2 linked regions of the Sus scrofa genome follow. The protein of the gene in region 2 binds, or shares a complex with, the protein of the main gene of each other region. Links are inferred from orthologs where the notes say so. Each region holds a gene or a part of one and is shown on either strand. Other genes may lie near its edges.

Region 1 (7,532 bases), on a different chromosome or scaffold from region 2:
TCTTGCTTAAACTCACTCACAGAATAAGCGTTTGGGGCTCTAGCCCCTGACCGGCTCTGGCCTGCACGAGGCTTAAAAGCACAGGTGTCAGGACTCACAGCTGAGCACTCGCTCACCGCAGGAAGAGGGTTCTGATCACAAGCCACAACTCACTTTATACCGCTTGACCCCGGGTCCAAAATACGTTCCTCTGATAGCTTGAGACATTATTTTCCCTGTGAAATATGCTTTAATGATTTATAATTCACCAAAGAGGTGAAGGAATAAAACATCCTTTTTGCATCCTTTGGTGATGAGTAAATAATAGGTTAGCTTTGAGAAACTAAATCCCATTTAATCCAAAATGGAGGGAAAAAAAAAGAGTGAACTGAAGTTCTGCTGGCCTGGCAGCAGGGCAGGTCTGGCCCTCCACCAGGAAGGGAAGGTGAGCTGTGCCTCGACAGCATGGCCAGGAAGCGGTTTGTGTAGAAACGGGCTAGGGTTTATTCGGTGACGTCTCAGTCATTCAGCCATGACAAACTGCACCCTGACACCCGGAGTGTGGACGCTGGAGAGGCCAAGGTCCCAAGTACCTGTGGCCGCCCCTGGGTTGGGGGAGGGGGCCGCATGCAAAGACAATAGACCCAGACATTCTGAAACCTCTGCCCTAAGAAAATAAGACGTTTCCAGACCGGGTTTTTTCTATTTTTATAACATTTTATATAACTCATAAAACAGTGCTTGTATAAAAATTCACACAAAGTTGCTAGAGAGCATACAATTTCCAAAATTGTCCTGGGTTTTTGTTACATTCAGTTTTCTAAGGACGCGCTCAAATCAATGGTAAAATGCAGACATAATGCGATATTTCATTATCTTTGGTAAAACTATTCTCATTATTTTGTCTCCTCACAGTATGAACTCTGATATCCACTTTGTGCAGGGTCTGCTATCACTAGGATGTCAGAACAACATTAAGGCTGGATCTACTCGAGGCAACATCTCCAAACGGCAGTAAGAGCCCCATGGGCTCCCCGCCCCCACATCGTATCATCTATCTACACAGCGAGGCAGGGTAAGAGCTCAGTGACCTCCAGTAAGGGCTCTCGAGACCCTCCTCCATCAGGCAAGAAGCAAACATTTGTGGGGAAAGATGGAAACTGAGGCCATCTCCGCAAGCACCTGAGTGGCCACGCTGAGGTGTGGTCAGACCAGTGACTCAGCATTAAAACAGTTAATCCATTCACCCCTAAGTAGATCCCATTGGCGGGTTGATGACAGCTGCTGACGCGGTGCCCCTCCCTCCAAACCTAAGCAGAAAGGAAGGTTCGGGGCCAGCGCTGAAGGGGGAGGGGCACACTAACACCCACGACACTGGACACAACTTTACTCCCTGTCAAACGTGTGTGGTCATGTAGACACAGCCAAAGTGAACTGAAGCAGGATTAGAACACTTAGTACATTCATGACTATCTTCATACATTCTTTTAAATCTTACTAACAGAGGGACACTACCACCTATTGTGACTTGCTATTTTTTACTTAACATCAGAATGTGTCTGTGCTACTTCTTTAGTCCTCTGGATATGAGCGGGGAAGGATCCCAATAAACAAACAAGTAAAAATCAAAGACTTTAGATGAAGGAGAAGAGTAATTAGGAGAAGGGGTTTTGCCAACAGATTTTATGGAACACAAATTTTGGGAAAAAAATAGCATTTTAATACTTCTATTGCTTTGTGTAAAAACAAAAACAAAAACAAAAACAAAAACACTGCTCCTGGAGCCCACCTGTATGGCTCGAGCACCGAGGACACCACACAGACAGACCCCGGACCAGAAGGCGGTTCCTGATGAGTCAGTCGAGAGAGAAAAGAAACAGCTCACAGAGAGCATCCACCTCTCTTCACTGAAAGGGACTCTAGGATTTGGGCGGAGGGAGAAAGCCCTACAAGGGAAAGGTATTCAGGAAAACACCAAAATGCAGTTTCCAAAAAGTGAACACGCTCTAGGTTATAAACACATTCCGTTCCTAGAACCTGCTGATGTCTCACTGTGGGTAGATAGGATGCTCTTTGAAAAAAAAACTATTAAATGATTGTGCTTCTGAAGTTGCAGGGTCACATTCCACCCTCTAGAAAGCAGGGCGGTTTTCACATGGCTTGGAATCCTCTTGGATACATCCTAGAGACCAGAAGAAATTCCACGGGCACCCTCCCACCCACAGGGCCGGGGAGCGAGAGCGCCAACGCCATCTTTGGGTCGGCCCTGCGCGCATGCGCGAGCGGCCATGCAGGTGTGTGCTGGAGCGACTAAGGCATAGAGAAAGGCCCGGGTGAGGGGAAGCGAGTCTCCGGCTGCTCCAGTTCTCCTCCTTTCCAGGCACAAAGAGGTTGAACTTGTTCTTCATGTCGGTCCCCTTCATCTCACTTCAGTTTTCTACTAAGAAATGTGTGTGTGCATGTGTGGGTGGGTAGGAGAGGGTCACGATGAAGTCCCTGTGCATTTCTGAACTGCAATAATTTAGGTCCGAAGTTTCAAAAGATATAATCTGTAAATACCATGACAAAGCAAATTTACTAAAGTTAGATCAGCAACTTTACATTGCTCAAAATCCTGTCATGTTAAAAAACAAAAAATGCCCATTGGGTGCAGGCAAAATTCCATCATACAGCCACTGGAACTGAAGCCCTCATCTGTATAAAGAAAATTCACAGATTGTTTCCATTATTTCTGCATTTTAAGGTAGCAAAATATTAGGCCATCAAGGTTATTAAATCTGTAATATTTCACAAGGGTTTTAGATCTACCCTGTCTGAATCAATTCATTTTCTAGCTTTCTGGTGGGATGTGTATTCAGTTTGGGTAGACTGTTTCCTTTCCCTCTTAGGCACAATATCAGGGAGGTAAAAAGTATTGTTTTCCTATTAAGGACTTTCTTTACCTGTTGGGGAGTTTCCTGGTTGGAATCCCAGAGAACATGCCGCTGGCCTGGATCAGTGTGACCTTCCCAGAGGGGAGAGAAGAGGTGTCTTACCCCGAGGCCAAAGGACTGGCCAGATGTAGGACAGCAGGGTCTTCTACGGGATGCAAGGGGAAAGCTCTGAGTGGACCCTGGGAAGGGACACGGGCGCCCCATTTGAGATGGCCTGTGTCCTGCCAATAGCAGGTATCCCCAAGAGGGCCCAAGGCCTGGGCCTGCCCTGAGGAACGAGGATGTGTACTGACTGGAGGAGCTGACACTGACGTGTGGTGCGTCACCATCCAGCTCCCAGAACCCGGGTTTTGTACAATTACACACATGGAAAGTAAACAGTTCTTGGTGAGCCCCAAGGGACCCATCCTTAAATCAAACAAGAAGCCAAATATCCACACACACTCTCTTCCAAGGAAATGTGTCTGCCCCTCCAACCAGCAACCTCGTTTAGAGAGGAAAGGGGGCAGTAGAAGGACACAGTTCAAATGAAGACATTGTGAACGTGTTACCACGTCTATCTACATTCATATCATCATCATCATCATCCAGTGTTCTCGGCTACAGAGTGAGCACAACATTCTACCGGCGCAGCAATGTGGGACAGGCCAGGCCACCCCCTGAGCCCCTTCCTCGGCACTACAGTAGGAGGGAGAGCAGGACTGACCATGGACAAAAGGACATCAAGCTATTTCATCCCCTCTACTGCCATCTGAGAGGCATCTTGACTCTTCCAAAATCTGATGAAAAAGACAAGGTCAGTAACATCCATTTCTATGCAACCTGAAGCTATTATTAGCCATCATGCATGAACATGGCACTTCTAAAAATTTCATTATCTGAAACCATCTTAAAAAAAAAATCCCAGCAACTTAAGTCATCTTACAGTACTTCATTTCAAATATTTAAAAGATTTTTTTTCTAAGCAAAATGGCTTCCATAGAGCCCACTGATTTTCTTAAAAACGGTTTCCTTTTTAATTAAAAAAAATTGATAAAAATGGAAGATGTAAAATGTGGGAAGCAGAACAAGAGTGTTGCTCAATTTGCATTTCAAATTGTGAGGGGTTTGGGGCGACACTGCCAAGGAGTGGGAACCCTGACTCTCTGCTCTCAAGGCTCAGCTCTCCCCCCACCCCTCCCAAGACTCCGGCTGGGCCACCAGGAGCACAGGACAAATGTCATAAGTACAAGAGACCAAATGAAAGGCTTCTGTCTTGTAGCTGGCTGAGCGATTACGTGTGCAAATGCAGTAGGCCACTCCCCTCCGACATAAGGTGCGCGCGGCTGTGGACAAGGCTGTGGACCCTCGTGTGCTCCCGCAGAAGGCTCAGTGCCCCGAGGTGTCCATCACTTTTCCACCTTCTTGGCTTTCTTCAGGATGTCGCATTTCTTCCTGTTGGGCCGGCGGCACCGCTCGTCGATGCTCGGGATACATTCGTAGTGCCACACCTCCTCCATCTTCTCCACCGGGTACACGGCCTCCACGTAGTGGCGGATAAGCCTCAGGCGCGTGGGGTCCAGCTGCTTCTTGTTGCAGGCCCCGGAGTGGTTGTACTGCAGCCGCAGGTTCTCGGCGGTGAAGAGTTCGGGGAAGAGCCTGACGAGCAGCCGGGCGGCGAAGTTGCCCACGGAAAGGCTCTGCTGCACGATCTCGCGCACCTCCTTGTCTGACAGCAGGTACGGCGAAGGCACCGGGAAGTCGGGCGAGGGCACCACCAGCTCGTCCAGGGGGATCTTGCAGAAGTCCTTGCTGCTCCTTTCAGGGGGCAGTGGGGGCCCCTCAAATTCCTCCCGGAACCGCTCAGGGTTGATTGCATAGCTGGCCAGGTCCCTGCACTCGGGCCCTGGCACATGGACCTTGCGCTGCTGCTGGTAGGAGCGCCTCTGTTCCGTGTCCCGGCGCCGGCAGCGCTCGTCCAGTTTGCCCACGAACTCCAGCGTCCAGACGCGGTCGTTCTTGGCCCGCGGGTAGAGCAGCTGCACGTAGTGGCGGATGAGCTTGATGCGAGACGGGTCCAGCTGCTTCTTGCCCAGGGAGCCGCTGCAGTTATACTGCTTCCGCAAGTTCTCGTGGGTGAAGAGCTCGGGGAACAGGTGCACCAGCAGGCGTGAGGCGAAGTTGCCAATGGACAGGCTGCTCTCGTAGATGCTGCGTAGCTGCTCTTTGCTGAGCAGGCAGTCGGCGCCCGGCACCTCGAAGTCGGGCTGAGGGATCTCCAGCTTGTCGAAATCGATGGGCACCAGCCAGATCTTCTTGGACCGCCGGCCAGGCCGCTCGCCCTCGAAACTGTCTTCCACCTTGACCACGGAGATGTCATCGGGCAGGCTGGAGGAGTCGTAGCAGTCATCCCGCGCGGCCTCGCCCTCGCTGCCCGCATCTAGCCCCAAGCCCTCGAGCTCATCATTGATGCGCTGGGCGCACTGCTGCAGCCAGGCCTCCTCCTCCTGCATGTCGGGGAAGTAGATCTCTGTGTAGTTGCGGATGATCTGCAGCCTCTGCGGGTCCAGCTCCTGCCTGCCGCCGTCCCCGTAGCAACTGTACTGCTCGCCCAGCTTCCGGTGGTCGAAGAGCTCGGGGAAGAGCCGGTGGAGAAGGAAGACGGCGAACTCCCCCGGCGAAGAGGCTTCATCCAGGAACTCAGTGAGGTCCTGTGTGTCCACCACATGGTCCGAGGCGATGGTGCTGCTCCGGTCCAGGGACAGGGCTTCCTCCTGGTCTTTGTTGTCCAGGAAATGGCCCGAGTCCACCTGGTCAGCCTCAAAGAAGCCGGCGACCTGGCCGCTGGGCTGGCTGTCCTCCATTTCCCGCTGGGCCCAGAAGCGGCTGAAGAAGTCGTTCAGCTGGGGCAGGCACTCCGCCTGCCACACGGCCGTGTCCTTCACCGACGGGTAGTAGACCTCCACGTAGTTGCGGATGAGCTGCAGGTGCAGCGACTCCAGCTTCCGTTTGGCCGCAAAGCCGCAGGCGCTGCAGCCCCGGGAGAAGTCCACGTCGCTGAAGAGCTCGGGGAAGAGCTGCACCAGCAGGCGGCAGGCCAGGTCGCCGCCTGACAGGCTCTGGTCCACGATCTGCTTGAGCTCGGCCGCCGTGAGCTGGTACTCAGGGGGCGGCTGGAATTTGGCCACCATCTCCGTGGGGCTCACCTGCTTCTTGATGCGGCTCACCTCCAGGGACAGCAGGTCCACCTTGCTGTGCAGCTGCGACATGTTGGAGGAGAGCGTGTTGAGCATGTAGAACATCTTCTGGATGAGAAAGTAGATGTTGGGGTCGCCGTCGGTGGCCGCCGCGCCACCGCCACAGTCTCGCTTCTGTGGCTCATTCAGGAGCCGCAGTGGTGAGGGGCTGTTGCTGGGATTCGCCTTCTCAAAGAGCTCGTACGTGTTGAGCACGTCCCCAGGGGGAGGGTTCTTCTTCTCCATGATCTTGTGCGAGATGCCGTACAGAGGCTTCTTGTAGGAGGGCGTGGTCACGTCATTGCCCGGCTCCTCCTCTCCCGGCCACACCGAGCCCGAGTTCCTGCCCCTGCCCGCCTGCTCCCCGTTGCCCTGGCAGGGCGAGCTGTTCTCCCGGTTCCGCATGCCTGCTAGGAGCGCCTGGAAAACAAAAACTGTGTTAGGTGAGTGTTCTGATTTACGACACTAGACACTGGTCTGTGTCCTGCACAGACGGGCCAAGGTCAATCTCAGGAACTTGTGAGAAAGTGCTTCCTGGGCCTGGGGAATCACTCTGCTGGTTCAGGAACACACAACTGATACCAACCTGCATCCCAGCACCAAACCTGCTCTAATTCCTGAGAGGCTCAGGCTGGACCCCAAAGGCTTCCAATTCCTGTGGAACATCAGTGCTGGACTTCCTGCCCACAGGGCCTGGCAGAAGACCAGGAACAGATGCTGGCAAAGCTGGGCAAGAGTCCTGAGAGGTCCAGGAGAGAGACCTCAGGAACAGGAGGAGCTCCTGTGGCAGTTTGGCCATGGGCAGGCCACCTCATGACCCTGACTGCTTTCAGACAGGGAGGATCCCCGCCTAGGGCACCTCCAGAAGGCAGCAGTCTGTTGTCCAGTTTGCAGCCTCTAGGGGAGCACGTGTCTCCACTCTGGACAGCTTCTGAGATGCACAGTGCTGAGCTTGGAAGAAATGGGGTTATGAGAGTGGCAGTCTGCTGCCACTCTACCACTGCCTGAAGTCATGTCTGAACTCAGGCTAGAAAAGGCCCAGAACTCCCCAAAGTTCAGGCGACTGTGGATTCCATAAAATGACAAGGCCTCCTGGTTTCTAAGTCTTGGTCTCCTAGTGGTCCAGTAGCCCATCTCAATCAAAGGAGAGTATTAAACCCCACATACTAAAGTACTCATTGCACGTAAAGTATTCTCGCTTCCCTGATGCATCTAGAAAGGTATTTTATAGGTTCTATCCAGTGTTGCTCAACAGAGGACGGTGAGAGGATTAAGCCCTACCAAAAATGATTTCAGGGATTATCTCAACTCACTCAAGGCTGGCACACTGCAGGTCCACCCCTAATGGACTCCCAAGGCATTAGTCTCCCCTAATCAGACTCCAAGATACTCTTTAAAGACTTCA
Region 2 (7,532 bases):
CTATCAATAAATAACCTATTATTTAAAATTCAGCTCATCTCTTTCAAGCTTTTATATGTGTATGTGATATAATAAACATATCTAGTCTTCATCCCTGGTTATGGGCACCCAGCTCTTTAAGAATCTCCAGGGAGTTCCCGTCGTGGCGAAGTGGTTAACGAATCCGACTAGGAACCATGAGGTTGCGGGTTCGGTCCCTGCCCTTGCTCAGCGGGTTAACGATCCGGCGTTGCGGTGAGCTGTGGTGTAGGTTGCAGACGCAGCTCGGATCCCGCGTTGCTGTGGCTCTGGCGTAGGCCGGTGGCTACAGCTCCGATTGGACCCCTAGCCTGGGAACCTCCATATGCCACGGGAGCGGCCCAAGAAATAGCAACAACAACAACAACAACAACAACAACAAAAAGACAAAAAAAAAAAAAAAAAAAAGAATCTCCAGAGTGTGGGAGTTCCCGTCGTGGCGCAGTGGTTAACGAATCCGACTAGGAATCATGAGGTTGCAGGTTCGGTCCCTGCCCTTGCTCAGTGGGTTAACGATCTGGCGTTGCTGTGAGCTGTGGTGTAGGTTGCAGACGCGGCTCGGATCCCGAGTTGCTGTGGCTCTGGCGTAGGCCGGTGGCTACAGCTCCGATTGGACCCCTAGCCTGGGAACCTCCATGTGCCACGGGAGCGGCCCAAGAAATACCAAAAAAAAAAGAATCTCCAGAGTGATTGAGTCTTTTATATGTTAATGCAATAACTGGGGGTGGGTGCTGGTCTTTTGAGAGACTCAGAGGGTTGGAACTCTTGACCCCACCCCCTGGCCTCTAGAGGGAGAGGGGCTGGAGATGGATTTAAACAATCATGCCTACAGTGAAACCTCCCTTAAAAATCCAAAACAACAGGGTTTGGAGAGCTTCAGCCAGTGAACACAGGGAAACCACACACACACACCCTCCCACACCTTGCCCCACACAAATCTTCCATTTGGCTGTTCCTGAGTTGTATTTATAAAAACTGGTAAGGGAGTTCTCTTGCGGCACAGCAGGTTAAAGATCTGGCTTTGTCACTGCAGTGGCTTGGGCTGCTGCTGTAGCACTGTTTTGATTCTTGGTCCGGGAACTTCCACATGCCAGGGGCTTGATAAAAACAAAACAAAACAAAACAAACAAAAAACCCCACAAAACCCTGGTAATAAGTTTTCCTAAGTTCTATGAGCCAGTCTAGAAAATTACTGAACCTTAAGAGGGCTCATGGGCGCCCTCAATTTCGTAGCCCACAAGCTGGACAGAAGTGTGGATAATGTGGGGACCTAATACAAACAAGTGACATCTGATGTGAGGACAGTCTTATGGGAGTGAGCCCTTAAACCCGTGTGCAGTCCAATCCTAAGCCAGGGAGGATCAGAATTGAATTGAATTGTAGGACACCCAGTTGGTGTCTGTCGAGAACTGGAGAACTGCTTGGTGTGGAAAACCCCCACATTTGGTGTCAGAAGCGCTGTGAATAAAAACAGCTTGGTTATTATAATGGCTTTTCACAAAGTAACACATAGTTAAAAATCCATTCCACCTCTTACTGTGTGATCTTGGGCAGGTCATGCCCTCATTAAGCCATTTTACTCAACTGAAAAATGGAAATGCTGGAGTTCCCACAGCAGCGCAACAGGATTAGTGGCGTCTAGGGAGTGCTGGGACTCAGGTTCAATCCCTGGCCTGGCACAGTGGGTTAAGGATCCGGCATTGCCACAGCTGTGGCTTAGGTCAAGCCTGTGACGCAGATCTGATCCCTGGCCCAGAATGCGGGGCAGCCGAAAAAGAAAAAAAAGTGGAAATACTGCCTTTGACTTCAAAGGGCTATGGTAAAGATTAAACAAGAAACCCATGCAGAGTACCTAATACATAGTAGATTATTGATAAATTCTCCAGTGACAGTGTGCAGAAGGCTGTATCGTACTTCGTGTTTCTAGGGTGGAACCAAACTCCTTTCCCATCTATAACCCAAAGATAGGATGTGCTAGCATGTGTCAGCATGCAGCTGGTGGTGAGTGAAGGATGGCCAGATGTTTGGGCAAAAGGACTCCAGGGTAGGGCACCGGTGATAAAGAAGGAAGCCCTTGGAGTTCCCATTGTGGCTCAGTGGTTAACAAATCCAACTAGAAACCATGAGGTTGCGGGTTCGATCCCTGGAACCTCCATATGTTGAGGGTACGGCCCTAGAAAAGACAATAAACAAAGCAATAAATGTAAAAAAAAAAAAAAGAAAGAAAAAGAAAGAAAGAAAAAAGGCCCGCACCAGGTACCTTATCCCAGCCTTTGGCTCACCAGCTATAGTGAGCCGAGGGCCTAAAATAGCATGTTAATAAGCAGGTCTTAGATCTGGACTACTAATGACAGATTTCTGCCTAAAGGAATTTCTAGATGCATGTGCCAATATCAATCATCTCAGTGAAAGAAAGTGAAGGAAAAACACTTGAGAAGAGTTAACTTTAATATTATCTGAACTGTGATATACAAAATGGATCATTTTCAGAATAAAATTTAAAATGGCCAGAGTAATTTTGCAAAAACTTCTCTAGAAATAACACTGTTCTATTAAGCTTACAGAGCATGCCTAAAAGAAAAATAAGAATAAAATAAAAAATAAACCTAGTGCTCAGAACATCCGAATACATGTACGGGGGTGGGAGGGAGGCAGGAGCAGGCAGTAAAGGCAGAATTTATAAGAAAGTCGGAAACAAAAACTCACTTTTTGAGTTTTCTAGCCTTAAGCCTGAATGCTTCATGGCTCCTAAAGAATCCAATTATGGAAACAAATTCCCTCATGCTCAGTTTCACTTTAAAATACAATAAACAGGTTATATTCTCAAGTTTTATTAAGTTGCTTATACAAACTTAAAGTCATGAGCATGACTTCAGGATCTGAACTTTTTATGTCAAGTGCTTTAACTAAGCAGTCTAAGGCCTCCTGTATTTTTCCACATGCTTTCAGTTCTTTTCCACGCAAGACCAGAGTCTCATAGTCATTTACTGACTCCACTGCCTCATCCTGGGGAGAGTCAACCAACTGTCCACCAGACGAAGGCTCAGGATCACCAGAAGAGGTCTCCGGAGCCAGACCACCAGGCCCAGGTGTACTTAACCCACTGGACTTATTTTCTGAAGACAGTGTTTCTCCAGAAGATTCTTCTGTACACTCTGGGGCTTCATTGATGCTTTCCTCTGCTCCTTCCTCCAGAAAATCTTCAGCAACTTTTGCTTCACTGCTATTGTCAAGTCTTTCCTCCATATCCTCCACATGGTCTAAAACCACATTAATAAGAGATCTCCTAGAAGCCAGAGATCTTCTAGAGTTTATAGACTTATTTATACTATCAGATATTTTAGGTGAAAAGAAACTTCCAGGTGGACTGATGTCATTTTTGGGAGTTGAGGCATCAAACTGTTTTACAGATAAAAACGGGAAGGGAGATGTGTTGAATGGGTTTGTGCTTGAAGTATCTTTAAAAGTATCATTTGCATCTTCGTCATCTGAATCAATCCGTCTAGCTTTACTTCTGACTTTCACATTAACTACAACTTCTTCTGGCTCCTCATCTTTCTCAGAAAGATCCACACTGAGACATGCTTTGCTATGCACAAACTCTACTCCAGAATTAGCTGCAGAGCCACACAGGCTGTTTTCTTTCTCACCATGCTCCACTGACTGACTGGAAAGATTTGGTCCATTGTCTGCAGAGTCTTCCAAGAAAAGATTGAAATCACATGTGTACTGTGCTGAAGATGCTAAAGGTTCCTCTTCCAACTTGACCTCATTCACTTGAGCATCCTGCAGTGTGCTGTGGGCTGCTGTTAAGCCATCATCCACTATTTGAATAACAGACACACTCAATTCTGGATTTTGAGACTCCTTTGTTATGGGATTAACAGGCCAGGGATTGCAGGGATGTAAAATCTCATCATCCTCTAGATGATCTAGATTTGGCTCAATATCAGCTCTGACTGACTTGTTGGGTAAATAACTAAAACTTCCCAGGGGGCTCTCTCGTAATACCTCCTGTATAGGCCCCTCTTGCAGTGCCTCTTTCTGTAGAGCCATCCCTGATAAAGAGTCAGTCCAAATTTCTTCTACCTTTCCACCCCCACTGGGTAAAGTATCTACAAAGTTAGCATCCAATATACTGTCACGTGGGTGTCTACCATTTTGAGGGCTGGTATCATTCATCTTTATCCTGAAGAGATCTTGTTTCTCACTCTCTTCAGGCAGATCATCAATAATTATGCTGGCCATTTGGGAACTGATGTCTTCTTCCTGGATGTGATGAGTGGGTAGAAGAGGTGAAGGCCGAGGCTGTGGTTTATTGAATCCAGCACATTTCTTCTTTGTTTGAGAAGGAAAGACAGGTTCTCTCAGCCAGATCCCCTCACTTGCTGTCCTTTGTCTTTCCATTAAGAGCTCTGTATTTTGAGACTCAGATTCAACAAGGAATTGAGCTTTCTGAACCCTTTGTTGAATATAGTGAGAGTCTTCGATCACATCAAGCTCTTCTTTAACAGACAGATCCCGTGTATACATCAAATCATGGTCTGAGATTCCAGCTATCCTCAGAGAGTGCAGGTAGGCAATATGTTCATCTAGGTTTTTATCAGATCTCCTCTGAGAAGCATGCAAAGACTGAAGCTGCAGCTGGGTTGCTGAGTTCTGAAAATCCTCAATTGTAAAGAGCTCTCTCAATTCCTGCTTACTAAAATATCGGAAAGGGTTCTTCTTATCCCCAGTAGTTTGTCTTATTAATGAGTCCTTGAAAACCTGTCTTCTGTATATTTTCTCCTCTACAGTTCCACAAGTGATTAGCCTATAAACCACAACATTTTCTTTTTGTCCAATTCGGTAAACTCTATCCACAGCTTGGGCATCAGTTGCAGGATTCCAGCTAGGGTCAAAGATGACAACTCTACTTGCCGCAGTTAATGTTAAGCCCACACCACCTACTTGAGTGGTCAGCAGAAAAACCGAATAGTCTTTATTTTGCTGGAACAAGCTAATTCTTTTTTCTCGTTCCACAAGATGAGTGATTGTTCCATCGATTCGCAGTATCTTAAAGTGCCTATTCTTTAAGAGGCGTTCAAGGATGTTTAGAATTTGTCTTGACTGGGAAAACACCAGCGTTTGATGCCCTTCATCCCGCAGTCTCTTAAGCAGGTCCATTAGAAATGTCATTTTTCCAGATTCTTCCATCAGTGTCTCATCACTTACTTGATCAATATGGTCCACACCTGAGGAATCTTCCCCTTCAATTTCATCTTGGACAGAGAATCTGACAGCCCCTAGATTCAGCAACTGACACGCCCGTGCAGAGAGCAGCCTGGGATGATCACACAGCTTCTTTAAGACACCTAGCTCTGCCAAAGGTGAGCGCGTCTCCATTAACAACTCCTTGATATGATCTAGAGACACAAATTTCCTGTATATTTCTTCTTGTAGTGGCACAAGGCGTATCCAGATAATTAAATCATTTTTCCTGGAAAGGGAAGGCATTTCGCATATGGCATCAGCATCTGGATCCTCTTCACTAAGTCGGACCTCTGGGTTGCTTGACTTTTTCTTCTGTACCTCTTCTTTAGTCCTCCTGAGAAAATAGGGTTTTATGATTGCCATTAAGTTTTCAGATATTTTAAATCCCAAGGCTTTTTCCCCTGGGGTAGCATCCTTCTCTCTTGCTCTAGTAATAGGGTTTTCATACTCCATTTTAAAAGTTTTCAATGTTCCTAGCAGGGACCCTTGACAAGCAAAATCAAACAGGGACCACAGTTCCTGTAAATTATTTTGGATCGGGGTTCCTGTGAGGAGAATGCGATTACGAGCAGGGATTGCTCGAGCACATATTGCTGACTTGGTAGATGACGTTTTTATTTTATGTGCTTCATCGAGGATGACATAGTCCCACACAAACTCTCGGCCATTCAAGCTGGAAAGTTGCTGCCAGTTGTTGATTAGCATTTGATAGGTGGTGATGATGACGCCGTTCCTTTGCTGAATCCGGCTGAGGTTTCTGGTACGTTCATCCTTGCTAGGACCATGAAAGGTTTTGACTCTCATTCCTGGAGTCCACTTGACAAATTCTCTTAGCCACGTGCTGATGAGACTAGTTGGCATGATCAGCAGCACATGGTTCACAAGTGAAGCATCAAACATACCAGAAAGGAAAGCGATGATTTGAACAGTCTTTCCTAATCCCATATCATCGGCCAAAATGCCACCTCTTCTTCCATCCCTGTACAGGCTATAGAGGAAAGCCACACCTTCCTTCTGGTATTCAAATAGCTGGTTGTGCAGCTCTCGATAAAGCAGCAGGCCAGAGTTGCACACATCTGTGAATTCATCCTCTCCGTGTTCTGCCAATTCCTCCAAGGCTTCCTGTATTTTTTGGATTCTGCTCATCACCTTTTCATTGGGAAAAATGTCCTTTGCCAAATTGAAAAGTTTAAGTGCTTCTTCCAAATCTCCATTCTTAGTTGCTTCTTTGGCCTCTTTCACATATCTGTTTAAAGAGAAAAGGTTAAAAAAAAAGATATATAGAAAGATATTGATAGAAGATTAGAAAGAAATGAAACAGACTGAACATTCAGTCTAAGGATCCACTTTGGAAGCCAAACCACAGTTGAGATTTAATATCCTCAAGTCAGAATAGGAAAGATTAGCACAGAAGATGCCAACGAAAGCTGGCATCACTTCAGACACAAATATCCACCAGACACTGCCAGCAAAAACTTCAGGCACTAGTTGTAGGAAATGTACGTGCAAAGGTTATTGATTTCACAGCATTAAAAAAAAATTGCCACCCATAAGAAGTGTAAAGTGATTTTTTTTCTTATAAAACCAACCAACCAACCCATTCCATGGGAGCATAGAAACAGAAAGATAACATTGGCACTTCTTGGAACTTATTTTTCTGGACCTCTGTGATACATTTCACACTATTGATCACTCTCTCCTTATAATTCCCTTCTCCCACCAGATTCCTATAGATTCCTCCTGGTTTCCTCTCCCATCACTGGCCATTTCTTCTCTCTCTTGCTTAGGTTCCTATTCTTCCTCCCCGAGGGCTCAGTCCTGGGCCCTCTTCTCACTCCTTTTACTCTTTCCTCATCCTCTCCCAGAGCTTCCAAAGCATTTTTTCCAATCCGGCGCTTGCCCTCAAGCTCTAATCTAGACCCACATTCCAACTGCCTCTGGACATCTCCACTTGAAAGTTTCATAGGCGCCTCCAAATCCAATTAATCACAAATTAAACTTATTATTTCCCCCCTTAAGACATGCTTTTCCATTTGTATGGTAATAAATGACACTACCATTCACTTAGCCATTAGCCATACGAGCTAGAAGTCTAAAGATCATCTATGACTCCAAACCAAATATGAGTCATCTTTGACTTCTTCCTCTTTTTACCACCCCATCCCTTTGCCAATGGTCCCCAAGTCCTACTAACTTTATTTCGCAAATATAACCTGTGTCTTTCTCTCCCATCTCTACCACTACTGTGGTCCAAATCACCA

The links.
Region 1: the proteins of ERCC6L (region 2) and BEND3 are in contact, whole or in part, in a crystal structure (PDB 5JNO), measured with the Homo sapiens proteins. The link is inferred for Sus scrofa from reciprocal best matches to the Homo sapiens genes ERCC6L and BEND3. Residues at the interface, in NP_060139.2 of Homo sapiens: Ala10, Glu11, Ala12, Leu13, Ser14, Pro15, Glu16, Ala18, Ala19, Tyr21, Leu22, Arg23, Lys26, Phe51, Pro52, Asn53, Glu54, Lys55; in NP_001073919.1 of Homo sapiens: Glu252, Gln255, Ile256, Gln259, Leu261, Asp265, Arg269, Val272, Gln273, Pro276, Phe279, Ser280, Phe335, Arg338, Phe339, Gln342, Glu346.

Annotation. Positions count from the first base shown.
Region 1 is NC_010443.5:73,184,064-73,191,595, forward strand, and holds the end of BEND3 (BEN domain-containing protein 3), read right to left. Parts: intron 6,548-7,532; coding exon 4,301-6,547; 3' UTR 682-4,300; downstream 1-681. UniProt on the Homo sapiens protein: Transcriptional repressor which associates with the NoRC (nucleolar remodeling complex) complex and plays a key role in repressing rDNA transcription.
Region 2 is NC_010461.5:58,084,717-58,092,248, forward strand, and holds the end of ERCC6L (DNA excision repair protein ERCC-6-like), read right to left. Parts: intron 6,518-7,532; coding exon 2,842-6,517; 3' UTR 2,500-2,841; downstream 1-2,499. UniProt on the Homo sapiens protein: DNA helicase that acts as a tension sensor that associates with catenated DNA which is stretched under tension until it is resolved during anaphase. Functions as ATP-dependent DNA translocase. Can promote Holliday junction branch migration (in vitro).